Linked DNA regions of Arabidopsis thaliana. Each later gene encodes a partner of the first gene's protein in a complex. Each region holds a gene or a part of one and is shown on either strand. Other genes may lie near its edges.

Region 1 (3,878 bases):
AAGAGATAACTACATGAGTAACTCCCGAAACCAAATCATCTCCATTGATAGTACCAACTGCAGATGGTCTCAAAAACGGATCCAAATGGCTATCAAAGTGGTCATAGAGTCACTGAAAAGAGTCGAATACCGATGGATATCGAGACAAGAAGTGAGGGATGCAGCTAGAAATTACATTGGGGACACTGGTTTGCTTGATTTTGTGTTGAAGTCGCTTGGGAACCAGGTGGTTGGAAACTATTTGGTCCGACGTAGTCTAAATCCGGTGAAGAAAGTGCTAGAGTATTCCTTGGAGGATATATCAAATTTGTTACCAAGTAGTAACAATGAACTCATAACCCTTCAAAACCAAAACTCAATGGGGAAGATGGCGACAAACGGTCACAATAAGATCACAAGAGGTCAAGTTATGAAAGACATGTTTTATTTTTACAAACACATTCTCATGGACTACAAGGGAGTGTTAGGCCCCATAGGAGGTATATTGAACCAAATCGGAATGGCTTCAAGAGCAATCCTCGACGCTAAGTACTTCATCAAAGAGTATCACTACATTAGAGATACATCGGCGAAAACGTTACACTTAGATCGAGGGGAAGAATTAGGAATATTCTGCACGATCGCGTGGAAATGTCATCATCATAACAACGAGATAAAAGTTCCTCCACAAGAATGCATTGTAGTGAAGAAAGATGCAACATTGAGTGAAGTGTACGGAGAGGCAGAAAGAGTGTTTAGAGATATCTATTGGGAACTAAGAGACGTCGTGGTGGAGTCAGTGGTGGGTGGTCAAATAGAGATCACAAGGGTCGATGAAATGGCCTTGAATGGGAATAAGGGATTGGTGTTAGAAGGGAACGTAGGAATGATGATGAACATTGAAGTGACGAAATGTTATGAAGATGATGATAAAAAGAAGGATAAGAGAATAGAGTGTGAGTGTGGAGCAACGGAAGAAGATGGAGAGAGAATGGTGTGTTGTGATATTTGTGAAGTATGGCAACACACAAGGTGTGTTGGTGTTCAACACAATGAGGAAGTGCCTCGCATTTTTCTTTGTCAAAGTTGTGATCAACATCTTATTCCTCTCTCTTTTTTACCCTAAATCATTCATGTTATATTAAACCTTCTTTTTTTCTATCATTACGTCATAATACATAAATTATACTCCTCGATCAACGTGAATTCTAATGATCCCTCCTGCGTCTATATCACCAACATGTTGAATCACAAAGTCATATCCTTGCCTCCTCTGGAGCCTGACTGTTCTAATAATATCATTATCAACATGTCGCTCTCCTCTTCCCCTGATGACTCATGTGACGTCATCTACTCCAACCGTGATTCCAAGTTTTACTTGACAACAACCTTAAGGCTTGTCTCCAAGAAAAGGCAGTTAAATTTTAACAGAAAATAATTCACAACACAAGGCGGAGAAAGAAGTGTGTAGTGTTTTAAATAATTTAGGCTTACAATTGATGCAAAAACAAAATTACAAACAAAAGAAGGTTTACATAATTTAAATAATTTAGTTTTACAATTGATGCATTTGGAATTAATAAATTATTTCTTCATTAACATGGAACAATATCAAGTTATTGCAAACAAAGGAAATGAAAGAAAAACAGTCATGTGTTTAACAACTCTGTTCAAGGTCAACGTCCTAAAAAGTTTCTTATTATATTGACTGAAGATGGAAAACTCCACGGACTATCTACGTTTGTGATATTGTTTCTAGAAATTGGGACTTACATCCAAATCTGGAAGAACAATCTTCTAAACACTACCAACAAAGTCATGAGATTCGATGAGTAAACTAGGGAACAATGAAAACTGAAAAGGGCTCAACCTAGGCTTCGCTGTTGCTACAATTTCGTGAAAACATTAAAGCACAATCAGATACGTGTAGACATCATCATAATCTAATGATTCAACCCTTTAATGCGTTTTTAGTGCGTCGTTACATATTCAGTGTTTATTGGTAATATAGCAATATTCCTGATAAAGTTCATTGGTCGTAAGTCGTAACGTTTACATGTTTTATTCAACTCTTAAAAACCAATAGAAAATCTTAATGTACTTGGCCTTCTTATTCTTGTCGGCTTAATGTACTTACTTAAATACAACGACTTGAATTGCAATAATTCGATACACGAAGGAGAAGCCAACTTAGACTAAGTCAAGAAACACATTGAATCATAAACGTGCGCGTTTCTCACACTTCTTCTCCTCTCCTTCCTCGTAAACACTCTCTTACTCACATTCATATATATAACTAAACCTTGCAGATTAACCAAATCAACAAAAAAAAACAGACTTTTGATAAATTCACAACGAAGAAGAAGACCTAAAAGATCGGGACTTGAAACTATGATCAAATCAGAAGCAGATCTCTCCGATGTGATCGTGATTCGTGACGTTTGGGCTTATAATCTCGAGTCAGAGTTTGACCTAATCAGAGGAATCGTCGAAGATTACCCATTCATCTCAATGGATACAGAATTTCCCGGCGTGATTTACAAGGCGGATCTCGACGTTCTCCGCCGTGGAAACCCTAATTATCTCTACAATCTTCTCAAATCCAACGTTGACGCTTTAAGTTTGATCCAAGTCGGTCTTACTCTCTCCGACGCCGACGGAAACCTCCCAGATCTCGGCGGTCAAAAAAACCGTCGATACATCTGGGAATTCAATTTCCGTGACTTCGACGTGGAGCGTGATCCACACGCTCCTGATTCGATCGAGCTACTCCGTCGTCACGGGATCGATTTCGAGCGGAACCGTCGCGAAGGTGTTGAATCGGAGAGGTTCGCGGAGCTGATGATGTCATCGGGGTTGATCTGTAACGAGTCTGTGAGCTGGGTGACGTTTCACAGCGCGTATGATTTTGGTTACCTTGTGAAGATTCTCACGCGCCGGCAGCTTCCGGTGGCGTTGCGTGAGTTTTTAGGGTTGCTTAGAGCTTTCTTCGGTGATAGGGTTTATGATGTGAAACATATTATGAGGTTTTGTGAGCAGAGATTGTATGGTGGTTTGGACCGGGTTGCTCGGTCTCTTGAAGTTAACCGGGCGGTTGGGAAATGTCATCAAGCCGGTTCGGATAGTTTGCTGACGTGGCAGGCGTTTCAGAGGATGAGGGATTTGTATTTCGTTGAGGATGGGGCGGAGAAACACGCCGGAGTTTTGTATGGTTTAGAGGTTTTTTGAGGGATTTATAATTAATTAATTTAATTAATCTTTGTTAATCATTTATACAGTCGAAATCGAAATTATCTTATTCATCTCTCGTTTTAACCAAATCCAAAAACCAAAACGAAATAACTCAATTTGGTTTTGTTTAACCAATTTACACTTCAAAACTTTTTGTGCAGTAAAATATTATCGTTACGTTAGAGCTAGGCTTTGAGGTATAACTTTGATTTTTGTTGGTGTTGTTTAATAGTTTACATCTAGTCATGGAATCATAAATTGAAATTATTCACAATATTGTAACATCTATATATAGAGAGAGATATGAGGAGGATTTAGTTCCTCATTTTGAAGAAGTTTGGTGTGAGTCATCATCATTGTTATCAAGAGGATTGTTAACATATAGACGAAGCAATCTCCCAAGTGACTTCCCACGTCGGTCGTGTGGTGGTTGGAGATGTGAACAGACGTCGACAAAAGCACGGACGATGAGATTGTGTTGAGGAGAAGGGTTTATGTCCAAGAAACACCTTAGAAGCTCCTTAAGTTCACTTTCCGTCTCGATATATCTCTCTTCGATCATCTGATTCATCGACTTCTTGTAATCTTCGAACGGATTGATTGATTCTTTAGCCATCGCGACGCTCTCATCGATCTTAGGACATGGGCTGCGTAAAACCGTGGGAGAA
Region 2 (6,214 bases), on another chromosome or scaffold:
AGGCTCATGCAGAAGGATACTGAAAACAGAGTACTTCCCAGATCGATCTCAGTTATAATTAAGAACTAAGTTTCGTGCATCATGAAGAAAGTTCTAATAAAGGTCTGAAATTTTAAAAGTTCGGATTTTTATAAACATCAAGAACAAAGTTTGAAGTTCAGAACCAGGGAACTAAATAATTGATCTAGACCGCACCGGCTGGTTCAACCACAGTATCACGGTTTTATCTGTCCAATTGACCAATCTGGCCCATATTATTTTACAAATAAGATCTTTCAAATTGGCCCATATTTAACAAAAGAAAATCGAATTAATATTATGGTTTTCTAAATGAACCAAAATCAACTCAACTTTTTTTTTTTGAATAATTTTATTTTTATTCCATAATTTAATTTGTTTATCATTTCCAATGAAATTTTATCATTAATAAAAAAGGTTGCTCTCCTCATCCCTTCCATCTTTCCTTTCACATTTTTTAGATTATACCTCATGTTTGAATAATATTGGTTTACATATCTAATTCATATTGAAAAACCCTCCAAATCTCTAGAGAAAAAGGACGATAAGAGTACTTAACTCACAAAGGGCAAATACCCAACTTTTGAATCTCCTTACATATTTTATGACAAACTATGAAGGTGTCCTCCAAATACTCTTTAATCATCTTTTGATTATCATCTATAATGATTGTTTCTTCAGACCTCATACCCATATCTTCGAGCGGTTTTAGTATCTTTACTGTCTCGTTAAATAGATTCTCATTTACCATTTCTAAGCATTTCTTCTCTTCTATCGTTAGATCAACTTTCAATTTTTGTATGTCTTTGACGGCTTCCAACAAAACTAACAACAACAAAAAGAAAAATCAAATCAAAAGATTTCACTATAAAGAACAAAAAATAAACAAATTGTTAGTTACCATCATAGAACAAATAATATTCAGCTGCCACAACCCTTTTGAAAAGTTGAATACGTTCTGTGCTTTTGCTCATCTCAACAATTTTGATTAAAAAAAAAAATATCTAATGCATTCTTTGTTACAAGGTCGAGATGTTATTTTGTAGCGTATATAGTGTTTGAGGCTTCTTTGTTTGGAAAAGATCGCTTTCGAAAAATAATAATTATTATTATTTTCCATGTTATGCTTCATATAAAATGTGGACTCAGGCCTCCGAAATAACAAATAGAAAAAATTGTGTTGAATGCTTAAAAACGAGAAAGAAATCTCTCAACTTTGATTTACTGGACACGCATTGTATTTGTTTTCTATAATTAGTTCAAAATAATAATTTGTAAATAGTTATCTAAATTCGGTAAAATACAAACCGATAACTTTTCATATCAAATACAACAAAAGTTAGATATAAATCTTAAATTTCTATACTTTAAAATTGAGTAAACCTGAAAAGAATGAAATTTAGTCTACCTAAATTTATTAAAAACCAACAAAATTTTCATAATTCGAACCTTAATTATTTCAGGTTTGAACCGCTTATATTTATGAAAACCAAATGAACTAGCTAAAACGAAAACAAAAGCGAAAATGAACATGACAATTTTGACAATGTTAAAATGTGATTCTTTCATTAATTTGACAAATTCAACAATTCTTAAGAAGATCAATTGAATTGATAAACTATGCTGCTCTTCTTGGGTAATTCTCACATTTTAAAAAAAAAACAAAAAAGAAGAAGAAGTTAATTCTACCTTAATCTGCAACAAATCGTCTTCAAGATAATTATATCACGAATTGATATTTCTTGTCTCTTAATCTTAACGAAGAAACTACACCTCCTGGCTCCTACTGAATGTGCGTTGAACACTCACCTATTGACTCATCTTCACCATTCCTTCTTTCTTCAATCTATCATAGATATAAATACACTTCTTTTAAGTCACCAATCTTGTTTTCGTAATGGTACGAGTCATAAATCTTGATTTGTCTTTGGTAAGTCATGTTTAGTTGTGGATTATTTGTTTTTACGCATTTTCTAGATTTTAAAATTTTATCTTTATATAAACAAAAATAAAACGAAAAACTTTCAATCTTTGAGCGCCAAAACCAAAATTTTCATCGAAAAGGAAGATCAATTAAAATATTATAAAATTTCATAATAATGTCTTCAAAGCACAAAATAATAGTTTTAGTATTAAACCCACTCGGGGAAAAAAAACACATAAAAAAACCAAAATCGATTTCATTGATTTTTTCCATATTCACAGCGAAAGAATCGATCCTTAATACAAAATTCCTTCAAGATCTCACATCTCTTATAAGCTTTCTCGATACCATCATTTTCCTTTCTTTTTTTCTTTTCTTCGATTCTAATTTGGTTCTGCCGGATCTTCAACCTTGTCTGAAGAAGACATTTTCTAGGGTTTCTAGAGATTGGTCGGGTTTTCGGTTCAAGTAAATGGTGGATCAGCCTATCGTACGCTCCACTTCATTAGGTTATCAACGACAATATTCATCATCTAATAATCATCATCAAGGTCTTGCTTCGATTCTGAATCTCTGCTGCTGCTGCTTCGATAGTGTTCTTCGACAATCACCAGGTGTTATTGAAAAGCAATGCTGAGCGTGATCCGAGTGCATCTTCCTTCTGAAATTCCCATTGTGGGCTGTGAATTGACTCCTTACGTCCTTGTTCGTCGTCCCGATAAGAACTCCACCACTGATGACGTCCCTGAATCTGCTCCTCTTGAAGGCTACTTCTTGAGATACAGATGGTTAGATTTCTGATTGGCTCTTTGTCTAATTGCTTTCTTGGATCATTTGGCGAATTGGGGTTTATCAAAGATTGAATTTTGATCTGAATTCAGAGATTTCTCATGTAGATGTTCTGATTTAGGTCGTCAAATGGTTTTTGTGTGTAAAGTTCTGATCTTGTTGTAGATTCATTTTTTGGATTTATTTGTTGTAGGTATCGTGTACAGAGTGATAAGAAAGTAACGATTTGCAGTGTGCATCCAACGGAACAAGCTACTTTACAGTGTGTTTTCTGTTCTAAGCGTAGATCCCTTGTTCCAAAAAGCTATCACTGTTCGCCAAAATGCTTCACGGATGCGTGGCAGCATCACAGGACTTTGCACGAGCGAGCAGCTGCGGAAAACAACGCAAACGAGGATGATGACTTGAACAGGAATAACAGTGCGGGTTCTGGGTCTCTCGCTGGTTCCTTATCTGGGTCTATGTCAAATCTTAGTATTGCCAACAATGGTCCAGCTCCGTTTTATCCTTCTAATATTACTCAGAAAAATGGAGGAGAGACTTTAGTTGAGGTTGGGGGTTGCAAAACGTACACTCCAACAGCTGATGATATTAGCCACGTTTTGAAGTTCGAGTGTGTTGTGGCTAATGCTGAGACTAAACAGATTGTCGGACATCCTAGTACCATTTTGACTTCACGGGTTATTCCTGCTCCTTCTCCAAGCCCCCGTAAGCTAATCCCTGTTAACGGAGCTGATGGGATGGGTCACTTAGATCAAGATGCTCGGATTCAGTCTGCAGGATCATTCACTGTTCTTTCATATAACATTTTGTCTGATACTTCTGCAAGTAGCGACCTCTACAGTTACTGTCCTCCTTGGGCTCTTTCATGGCCATACCGAAGACAGAATTTGTTAAGGGAGATTGTTGGATATAGAGCCGATGTAGTTTGCCTGCAAGAAGTATGTTATTCGTATGGACTTGGTAATGATTTAAAGCATTTTAATTCTGAAAAATCTACTTCTAATGTGTTCTTTTTTTTGTTATCTGGCAGGTACAAAGTGATCATTTCCATGAAATTTTTGCTCCTGAGTTGGATAAGCATGGGTATCAAGCTCTTTACAAGAGGAAGACTAATGAGGTTTGGTCAATGATTCCACACACTCCTTCCTTCAGTGATTTATGTTTTAAAATCTATTAACCACAAATTTCTTGTTGCTAGGTTCTCAGCGGAAGTACAAGTGCCATTGACGGCTGTGCAACATTTTTCCGGCGGGATAGGTTTTCGCATGTCAAGAAATATGATGTTTGTATTCAGTTCTATATGTTTACTTGCTAGATCCAGTAAGATCTCTATACTAATTCATGGACTGTAAATCCAGGTTGAATTCAACAAGGCTGCTCAGTCTTTGACTGACGCTCTAATCCCTCAGGCTCAGAAGAGAACTGCTTTAAACCGACTGGTTAAGGTATTTTTGACATGGTATACAATATTTTTCTGGGCCACAGCTGATTATCAGAGAGTTATTGTTTACAAAACTGAAACCAATGATTCTTATGTTGTAGGATAACATTGCGTTGATAGTTGTTCTTGAAGCCAAATTTGGTAATCAACCTACTGATCCTTCTGGGAAGCGCCAGCTTATTTGTGTGGTACTGGTTCTTTTTTTTTTTCCATTCTCATGAGAACTGTTAGTTTCTGTATATGCTCTTTTAGTGAAAGCCAATGAATTTTCTTATTTTGTTGTGGCAACTTGTTTAGGCAAACACACATGTAAATGTTCAACAAGATCTGAAGGATGTGAAGCTCTGGCAGGTTGGTGTATCTCTATATCCGAAATAAATCAAATTTCATTGAACTCGAAAGAATTAGTATTCACCTCATGTTTTCTTTTATTCTTTTGCGTTTAGGTTCATACCTTATTAAAGGGACTAGAGAAAATAGCAGCTAGTGCCGATATTCCTATGCTTGTGTGTGGAGACTTCAATACGCTTCCTGGGAGGTTTGTTGATTCATAAATTCTTTTGACATGATACATGAAATGCAGAATTCTCTTATGAGTAGCTAAAGTTTTTCTTTTTGGCATTTTTATGACAGTGCACCTCATACACTTCTTGTAATGGGAAAGGTTGATCCAATGCACCCAGATCTGGCAGTCGATCCCCTTAATATCCTGCGTCCTCACACCAAATTGACTCATCAATTGCCTCTGGTAACATTGCTTTTTTCGATTTAAGTAAATTTATACCGCTTATCTTTGCGTCTCTCTTGGATATTTGATAAATGAATTGGTTTCAGGTGAGCGCGTACTCATCGTTTGTGAGAAAGGGAATAATGGGTCTTGGATTGGAACAACACAGAAGGAGAATAGATCTTAATACAAACGAGCCTTTGTTTACCAATTGTACAAGGGACTTCATCGGCACTCATGACTACATATTCTACACAGGTTTCACCATTTTTAACTCCATTGTCCTTGTTTTCAACTACATCAGAAATAACAAGTTAACTTAATTGGAAGATTTTTTTGTGTTTGGGTTTCAGCGGATACATTAATGGTGGAATCTCTATTGGAATTACTGGATGAAGATGGATTAAGAAAAGACACAGCTCTTCCTTCCCCAGAATGGTCTTCTAATCACATTGCTCTCTTAGCTGAATTTCGATGCACGCCTAGGACAAGACGCGGTTAACCGCCTTCACCACCCACCATCATTTGCTTACAGATAGGTTTTTTTTTTTTGTTCCGATCTTCTTCTTTGATCAGACTATGACATCAACTGTTTAGACGAAACCTTTACCAAATCTGTGATAGAGATGACACAAAGATTCAAAGGGATTCTGAGTAAGGCAAACCACTCTATGAAGTTGGTCATTCTTTATTATGACCCCTGTGTGGCTCTGTCTAAACCTCCTTTTATATCTCATTTTGATCCTCAATATAGTGAAAACCCTTTGACTTTTCTTTTCCTTGGATCAATTTTAATGTTTGAACTGCTTTGTATGACTAAATAGCTCATGAGAATAATATGGGTCTACTAGGGGGTTTTCTTTTTTCACATTGAACAAAGAGACGATTCGTGTCTACTACATAACCATTTAAAGAGCAAACATACACATCTGTGGCTGCTCCCTAATAATAAACAATAGAGATAAGTGAGAGAGAAAGAGAACATAATCGGTTCTTGAAGAATTGAAGTTAAAGCTTAGTCCCACGCACTAGCCACTCCAGGACCATACCCTTGGTTAGGAACGGTTCCATATCCTCCAGGACCATAGTAAGCACCACCACCTCTACCATAAGGTGCATAACCACCACCCGGAACATTTCCATATCCACCACCTGGTACGGGTCCGTACCCACCAGGCATTGCTCCATAGCCACCACCAGGAACGCCTCCATATCCACCACCTCCACCATAGTAGTCAGCACCACCACCGCCTCGACTAAAAGATTCTCTCCTGAAGTCACGACCACCAAACCGTCCACCAGACCGCCGGTT

The links.
Region 2: CAF1b (region 1) and AT3G58580 share a complex: the UniProt entries of both Arabidopsis thaliana proteins name them as parts of the CCR4-NOT complex.

What each region holds. Positions count from the first base shown.
Region 1 is NC_003076.8:7,364,934-7,368,811, reverse strand, and holds CAF1b (Polynucleotidyl transferase, ribonuclease H-like superfamily protein), read left to right. Parts: upstream 1-2,012; 5' UTR 2,013-2,370; coding exon 2,371-3,207; 3' UTR 3,208-3,335; downstream 3,336-3,878. Other genes in the region: MS1 (RING/FYVE/PHD zinc finger superfamily protein), read left to right, coding at 1-1,105; OFP10 (Ovate family protein), read right to left, coding at 3,533-3,878. UniProt on the Arabidopsis thaliana protein: Ubiquitous transcription factor required for a diverse set of processes. It is a component of the CCR4 complex involved in the control of gene expression.
Region 2 is NC_003074.8:21,660,056-21,666,269, reverse strand, and holds AT3G58580 (DNAse I-like superfamily protein), read left to right. Parts: upstream 1-2,174; 5' UTR 2,175-2,572; coding exon 2,573-2,730; intron 2,731-2,924; coding exon 2,925-3,672; intron 3,673-3,764; coding exon 3,765-3,851; intron 3,852-3,932; coding exon 3,933-4,016; intron 4,017-4,092; coding exon 4,093-4,179; intron 4,180-4,276; coding exon 4,277-4,363; intron 4,364-4,472; coding exon 4,473-4,526; intron 4,527-4,621; coding exon 4,622-4,713; intron 4,714-4,808; coding exon 4,809-4,923; intron 4,924-5,009; coding exon 5,010-5,160; intron 5,161-5,255; coding exon 5,256-5,404; 3' UTR 5,405-5,672; downstream 5,673-6,214. Other genes in the region: AT3G58590 (Pentatricopeptide repeat (PPR) superfamily protein), read right to left, coding at 1-8; AT3G58570 (P-loop containing nucleoside triphosphate hydrolases superfamily protein), read right to left, coding at 5,918-6,214. UniProt on the Arabidopsis thaliana protein: Acts as a catalytic component of the CCR4-NOT core complex, which in the nucleus seems to be a general transcription factor, and in the cytoplasm the major mRNA deadenylase involved in mRNA turnover.